Drosophila melanogaster: one gene and its partner. The protein of the gene in region 1 interacts with the protein of each later gene in a pairwise test. Each region holds a gene or a part of one and is shown in the gene's direction. Other genes may lie near its edges.

What was found. The genes of interacting proteins can lie anywhere in the genome.
Region 2: the proteins of dgrn (region 1) and CG15124 interact in a two-hybrid assay, tested with the Drosophila melanogaster proteins (2 studies listed by BioGRID).

What each region holds. Positions count from the first base shown.
Region 1 is NT_033777.3:5,822,812-5,827,359, forward strand, and holds dgrn (degringolade), read left to right. Parts: upstream 1-1,803; 5' UTR 1,804-2,137; coding exon 2,138-2,164; intron 2,165-2,221; exon of another isoform or gene 2,222-2,224; coding exon 2,225-2,633; intron 2,634-2,687; coding exon 2,688-2,777; intron 2,778-2,993; coding exon 2,994-3,427; 3' UTR 3,428-3,765; downstream 3,766-4,548. Other genes in the region: Sec20 (secretory 20), read right to left, coding at 894-1,496, 1,550-1,630.
Region 2 is NT_033778.4:19,640,905-19,644,198, forward strand, and holds CG15124 (uncharacterized protein), read left to right. Parts: upstream 1-2,042; 5' UTR 2,043-2,133; coding exon 2,134-2,709; 3' UTR 2,710-2,794; downstream 2,795-3,294.

The sequences.
Region 1 (4,548 bases):
GAATTAGCTACCGTTTACACATTTGTATTTATGTTTAATTCTAATTTGTCTCTCATCTGACAATTTTTTAAAACCGAAATATTTTTTTTGAAACACTTTTAATGTTAATGTTACATCATATTAAGTCAAATGATTTAATAAATATACTAAATAATTAAATATGCAATTAAATTAAATTGCAAAAGTAATATCAAAGACAATAGAATTATTCTAGTGTCTTTGCTTTGTTCATATCTTGAGGCACGAAGTGCGGACACAAGCACTCAACAATCATTGCCTTATTAATTTTTCACACGCCGCAAGATGAATACTCTAATGACAAATATTCTTATATAAATTCATTTTTGAAATTTATTTTTGTGATAATATGTACATAGATTTGACTATTTCTAATCTATTTTCAAATAATAATAACGTTAAGGCAATGCAAAACAAGAATTTTTCGCATGGTGCCAATTGATAAAAAATAATATAGATTTAAAGCCAAAGAACTTCTAAGGTGAAGGGCATATTTTGTCAAATTTACAATGCATGTGAATACGTGTGCACACATACAGATGTCTGCTATCACTTTGTGCGTTGAAAAGAGCTGTTCGCTGTAGCGCTCTTCGCTCTCTCGCTCTCTAACAAAAATTCGAGAGAGCCTGGAGCCACCTCTAGAGCCACGGCCAAAAAATCGTGTGCCAAAAAATCGTATGGCGTTACGCATCTTGTTATTCTAGGGTCTTTGGCTGTACCACGTTTACAACTTAGGCAAATCACTAAATAATATAAATATAGGAGCTGTGCTTACAAGGTATGGTCATGTGCTAAGCTTAATCTAGCTATACCTAGACAACAGAAGCGACAACCTTAAGCTATTTTGGGAACGGGTTTTGTCCATTTGTGGAGTCTTAGAAGAGTCGCTTTTGGACGATGTAAAAGACACAGGCGAGGAACAAGGAGAAGGCGAAGAAGAGCAGCATTTTGTCAGTGCACTCGCGTCGTCCGTACTTTTTGAGCAGCTTGCCGGACATGCTAATGCTGCCGGCCGTGTGGTGCAGTTCGTCGCTGGTGGCCTCCACATTTTGCGACGAGGCCACGAGCGTTTCCAGGGTGATGGCGCTCTTCTGGGTGGTCTCCGAGAGGTGCCGCGATATAGCCAGCATCTTCTCGGTCACGTCGTTCTCCTGCGAAACCAGACTGCCCTGGTTGTGCCGCGCCCGTGTTGTGGTTCGTTGGCGTAGCTCACTCTCGCCGGTAATGGCCATTAACTCCTCCCGATTGGCCTTCTCGATCTCCAGCATCGTGGACACGTTTGCTTTTCGGAACGCCTGCAGCGTTTTGGAGAACTGATCACGGTGGTCGTCCACTTCATTGGCCAGCGCAGAGTCTGCCGTGTCCCGCGCCCAGTCGTCCAGCCGCTCGATGCTTTTGCGGATAGCAGACAGTTTGGAGCGGCCCGCTTCGTTCAGCTCCTCGAGTTCGGCGATGGAGGTGCGGCTGTTCAGGATGTCCTAAAAACAGAAGCTCGGTAATGAGGGTTTCTCTTCAGATAGCGGAGACTTACGTGTATTATTGCCTTAGCCTGCAGATTGTTATCGATAAGGTCCTGCCGTATGGCCTGTAATGTAAACGCATCCTTGTCCATGTCTCCAACTTTGTTTTGTTTCGAAAATATTCTATTATTCTGCTTTGGTGACGTGCATTTAACGTTAATTCCCGCAATTTTCTAACACTACCACGGCACGGTATATATCGATGGCATTTAATCGCCTAAAAAATATCGTTTACATAGTGATGGTATGGTTTTGTAATGTCGACATATTTATATACATTTCTTATAATTATTTTGTTATCAAAGAATTTCGCCGAAACGGAAATTTTATTTTTAATAAATTATTGATTTTTATTGAATTACAAGTGTCATTCTAAACAGCATTGTATAATACCGCAAAAATCGATAGTCGATCTTAAATCCTTGTTCCCGAATGTCCGTAAAGTGTCATCTTTAAAATAACCGAATGGTCGCGTGAAAGGAGGAAACTATTTTGCACATTTCAATCTGCACTAAAGCACATGTATATCTGGGTTCACCTGCTTTTGTCTTTACTACGAAATCATTTCACAAGTTTCCTGGTCATTTGTTGCTCGAACAATGTCAGATTCGACTATTTTCCGTTTTGTAAGTATACCCTGGACTTTAAACTAGTTAATTCCGATTTATGATTGATTTATTTAGTAGAACTCATCCATTCTTGATCAGTCAGCGGACAGCAACGTATCCAGTTCGAGCTCCAATTCCAGTGTATCCGACTCTTCTGTGGACTCCCATTCATCCATAGAATCCAATTCGGGACACAATACATCCGTGGAATCTCAGTCATCCGCGGAATCTGATTCATCCGCTGATTCCCATTCGTCCTTGGAACGCCCATCCCCAGTGGAGCGTGATTTATCTGTGGAATCAGACTCATCTTCAGCCACCAATACCAGCGAATCTTCAGTCGGAGAAGCTTCAAACCAACTGCAGTCACCGCAAAGCAATAACCCCTTAAATATGGCTAACTTGTCTGTCTCGACTGAAGATGCTCATTCGCAGATCAGATCACTTACCCAGGATGTGATCCAGATGGAAGCAGAGTTGGATCGCAGTATGTCACTCCATAATCATTACGAAGTTTTCTGTTAATTGTTTCATATTTCAGTGAATCGCTACTGCGAGGAAGTTGTGGCACAGATTGACACCTTCGCCACGAGAACCTCAACGCCAACAACTCGTAGAATTCGCCGCAGAAGTAAGTGCAGATCAAAATGAACGCATCTGGGTTTCACAATGAACAATGTTTTTAATTCCACAATAACCAATGACATAGTTCTTTCTATAACCCTGCCGGGTTACTTACTTTTGAAGGCAAAATTTATCTATATTTTTTAAAATTTTGTGAAAACCAGATAGCTTTCGCGGATAGAGCTAGCAATAAACCGAATACCGTTTCTTACTTTTTCCGTAGCGAGTCCAGTAGAAGTGATAGATCTGTCCCATTTGGACCGTGCACCACCTGTTCGATCCGCTCGGAATCGTGATCCCGATGCTTTCATCGATCTATGCACCCCCGAAGGCCCAAGAAGTCGCACAGTGAATCTTCACTCCAACGACTCCCTCACCATTCTGCCACGTCGGTCAGCCGAAAATGACCCGGTAGTGGATCTCGACGTTGCGTCGCCACCAAAACGCGTTAATCGCGACATTGATGAGTCCCAAAAAGAGGAGTTATACAAGTGCCCCATCTGCATGGACAGTGTATCGAAGCGCGAGCCAGTGTCAACCAAATGTGGACACGTCTTCTGCCGCGAATGCATCGAAACAGCCATCAGAGCTACGCACAAGTGCCCAATATGCAACAAGAAGCTGACCGCACGTCAATTCTTTCGCATTTACTTGTAAGTTGCTTATACTATTTCACATTTTTTGCTCTGTGAGCCTTAATATAATATAGTTTAAAAAAAAACGCTTAACTATGTTAGAGACGGCAAATAATGTCTGTTCTTGTGATTCAGAAAAAATTAGTTATTTAAGTTGTCCTATGTAATCAGTGGCGCCCAAAAATATTTGAATACAACTATAAAAACTAAAGACTTCACTTTTGATGTATGAAACCATCTCAGGCTAGAATAATATAAGAACGACCGAAAGGAGTGTCAAAGTATTATGTAGGCATTTTTCCAAACGCAATTTAACAATGTAACATACATATAATATAATAAATAAAATGGTCCCAACGCATATCAACAGGTTTGTCTCAATCTCATTTTTTATTGTTGGCTACTATTTTTTGAGACAGAAGTCAGACATGGAATTCTGAGATCATTAAAGGGTCGATAAAACAGGATAAATTGGAAACAGGTGGAACATGAAGTGTCTTTAAAGAGACTTTTTCCCTCCAATTTTGTATATATATAACAATATATTTTTTTTTTTTTAAACTTCATTCTATTTATTTTGGTTCCAAAAGGAATCGTTCGGTCAATTCCTCTGAACTTAACCTTATGTGTGTATAAAGGTATATTAGACCAAGTGGTTTCTTAATTATTAAGTACAAAAGGGAAAATGTATCTAGTTATTAATTACTTATTGTGTAAGGGTGTAGGGAGATCGGTGGGGTGTACCCTCTTCAGCCTTCGGAGGGAGATGGGATTAGATAGGCTATTTGCTAGTCGGTTCGGGTGGACCATAAGCCTGTCGGCATAACGGCTGCTGTGAAAATTAATCTGATCCCCAAGAGGGGTAACTTTCAGATCTCTTTCGATTACCTTGTTTGTCACGTACCAGGGGAGCCCAAAAGCACGACGTGCAGCTCTCGACTAGACGACACGGAGCCTATTGAGCTGGGATTTGGCGGCAGTTCCCCACACCTGGATGGCATAACTCCACGTTGGAGCAAGTATGGCTTTGATTAAAAGAGCCTTAGAGCTCACTTGTAGTTTGCTGGAGTGGAAGAGCCAGTCGAGCTTTTTTAGCTTCGCCAGTGACTAAAATTTGACCGACGTGATGTGGGCCCTCCAGGT
Region 2 (3,294 bases), on another chromosome or scaffold:
ATGCGCCCAAGCATGGAAATGAAAATGTCGGTGCATGCGGGGAGCGGCTTTCTGCTTCTGTTTCTGTTTAAGTTTCGGTTTCAGTGCTTCCCTTTTCGCACGTGTGTGTATGTGTGCCTGTCTGTGTATGTGTGTCGGCGTGTCCTTCTGTGTGTAACGAATGGCAAATTTCAGGAAGCGGAAATGGCAATTGCAAGCGATGGGAAAAGGCAGCAGAAAGACAACGACTGAGGCAAATGTGAAGTTGTGCGCTAAATGAAATGCCAACACAGCAACACGGCCGTGCAAAACGGAAATAGCAAATGCGAATGACGCTGGATCGTTGGACGGTTGGCTGGCTGGATGGCCGAAAAATGGTGTTGGGCGGGGGTCTTGGGATGACAATGGGTGTCCTGGGCAGAATGGGCAGACAGGTGCCAAGGCAGACAATTTGCCGGTATTTAAATTCTATTTTAAGTTCTGTTCAAGCGCGTCAGGAAGCAAACGTAAGGAAATGGTTGACCGTGAATGGTGGACACGTTTCCCACTAATATGGCTGGAAAGCTTAAGGCTTCCTTTTATATATATGATACATATTATTTAAAATATAACCATAGATTTTATAAAATATTATAAATATTTTATTAACACTCATAATATAAATTGCTTAGTTTTGTTTACTCGCCACACTCATTGATGTAACAAAAATGACAAGTAATTTTGAAGTCATTTCATTTTTCATTTGCTTGGGATTAACATTTTTCTTAAAGGACTTTGAGCGTGCATAAAAAATTATCTTTAGCACCATAAAGAACTATATTCACTGCAATTTAAAATGAAAATAAATCTGATCGGGTTAAATGAAAATCGACTCCAAAAGAAAAAATCCTATTTCATCAAGGAATATTCTCTTATTTTTTCTTTTGAATAAAGTTTCCTTTTCCATTTGACTCTTCACCGTCGTTCAGTCAGGGCTTTTTTTCCCCAGGCTACGTGTTTAAAAATATAATCGTATTGAATATTTAAATGCTCGCCAGGGCAAAAGTCGCCAAATACGCTGGCAAAACTGGACGGGAATCAAAATCAAATGCAATGCCTGCGGCTTCGGCGAATGCTGGCTGCCTGTCAGCCTGGCACAAAATTAGATTTAAATATTTTGGCATTTCCCATCAATTTTCATATAATGCAACCCCATCCTTTTCGCTGGGATGCAGGTCCTGTTGCATGGAGGAATGCTGATAGTGAGTGGGATTCGTCTGTGGCAAGTCATTCCAGCCCTACACAAGCGCACACATCGATGTGGATTGAAAGACAGGCGCACACAACCACACATGCTCAATCATTTATGCAGCAATCAGTGCTGACGTCTTTTCCACACGTACGATTACCGGCATAGAGAATCGAGCCCTACTCTCGGTTATGTGGAGCATATTGGGAATCGAAATTGAGTGCGGGTTAACAATGAGGCAGTTGAGATTGCGGCAGCTTCTCTCGAACTTCTGTTGCTCGTGAGTTTCTTGAATTTAAATCAATGGCCCGGGCATCCACTGCGTATGAGTAATATTATACAAGGATGAACAGGTAATTTAATTTAGCTTTTCGGAACAATTTTTTGTTCACAGAATGCAATCAAAACATGTATGAGATAATATACATTTAAACAATCGTTGTCGAATTATTTATTTTATCATGATCCCTACTTTTTTATAAATTGACAATCATTTAAGTAAACAATCCTTTCAGCAAAACAGAAATAACTCCTTTTTCAAGGTGCAACCGTGAAGGACGACTGCACAAAAACTCTATTGGATTATTTGAAGGTTGAAATCAAATTAAGTCAAGTGAATAAATTGACTTTTAGTGCATATAAAAATCGCAAAAAGCGCAAATAAAAATGAAATAAAATTGCGATGGATAAAAAGTTTAAAAGTGAATCCATAGAAATTCATCGTTTGCTGATGACGAAACATGAAAAAAGGAAACTTAAAATTGGTTATATATACGAAATTAACAAGGGAAATTAAACGATCACATAGCAAAGCATTTTTTTGGAAAGTAGTCATTGCATATATTGCTTTCTGAGAAACTTCGTATAAATTTAAATTATTAAAATAAACCGCTAGAAAAATAAGTTAAAATTTGATATCAATTAGAATGGATAACGACAATATGCTCGACTTTACAGACTTAATCAGCTGCAAGGACTTACCGAACATAACTCTGCACAATATCCGTCCCATTTACAGTATAAAGGTTTTCATGTCCGAACCTAAAAACTCCAATGTCTCTATTGCTGAATTAATCAAACGCCAGGAAGTGTCTGCAGAGCAATGTCGCAAGGCACTTAAAGTCATAAAGGACAGACTTCTTCTGAAAATGGCAGCGTTGCAAGAGCTTAAGAAGTATCTGCTGGATTTGCATTCGGAGATCAAAAAGCCCGGTGCAGGGACTCGTTTTGTGACCAATCAGGAGAAAGTTAAATTGCATTTCCTAGACGAGACGGAAATCAGAGAAGTCGAATTGTCTGACGCCGTAGAACGTTGCAATATAAAGCTGAGCTCGCTTTATTGCGAAATCCTGGCTTTGGACAGCGACATGGGCAGTGTCGCCTATTTGGAGAGGGTCGCCCAGATCAACAAAGACTTTATCATGGATTGGCATAAGACTCAGAGGCAGAATAAGACAAGCAACATCCATTGTTCCGGCCAAGGCGTCAAAAAGACTTTTTAATTTGGACTGTTTTAAACTTTACATGTTTCACTCATATGCAATTATTATCGCACTATTCTGGAAAATAAATATTTATCGCGAAAGCAAATACAAAATGTTTTATTACACCTCTCCGAGATTGAATAGTTGAATTTCCAGCAATGAAATTAGCCTTAAGTAATGTGCTCCTCTCTTAAATCCTATCCCTAGGAATCTTTTTTCCCCCTCGACTTTTCCTGCTTCGTGTCCTTCCGTTTCCCTTTTCTCCGTTTACCTGTCACTGACAGCCCGCTGGCCGCTTCATCTTCATTCCCCGTCCATGAATAATCCCTGCGACACTTGCGTTTCATGGCTTTGCATAGTTAGGACCTGTTAAAGGAGGGACCTGGTCCTGGACAGTGTGCTCAGGCATCTCCTCTCTTAGCCAGCGCTTAGCTGGACCTGGGGAGTTGAATCTGTAGCTGCACAGCAAAAAAAATTTTAAAGGTTTCAAAAAGATCTCAAAAAAATGTCCCAAGAGTTTTAAACTCTATATAGAATAGTCTTGAGTTACGTGTCCCGTTCAGGTAGTATTTTTAATACCATTTGCTGGCAAGTTACTAATAT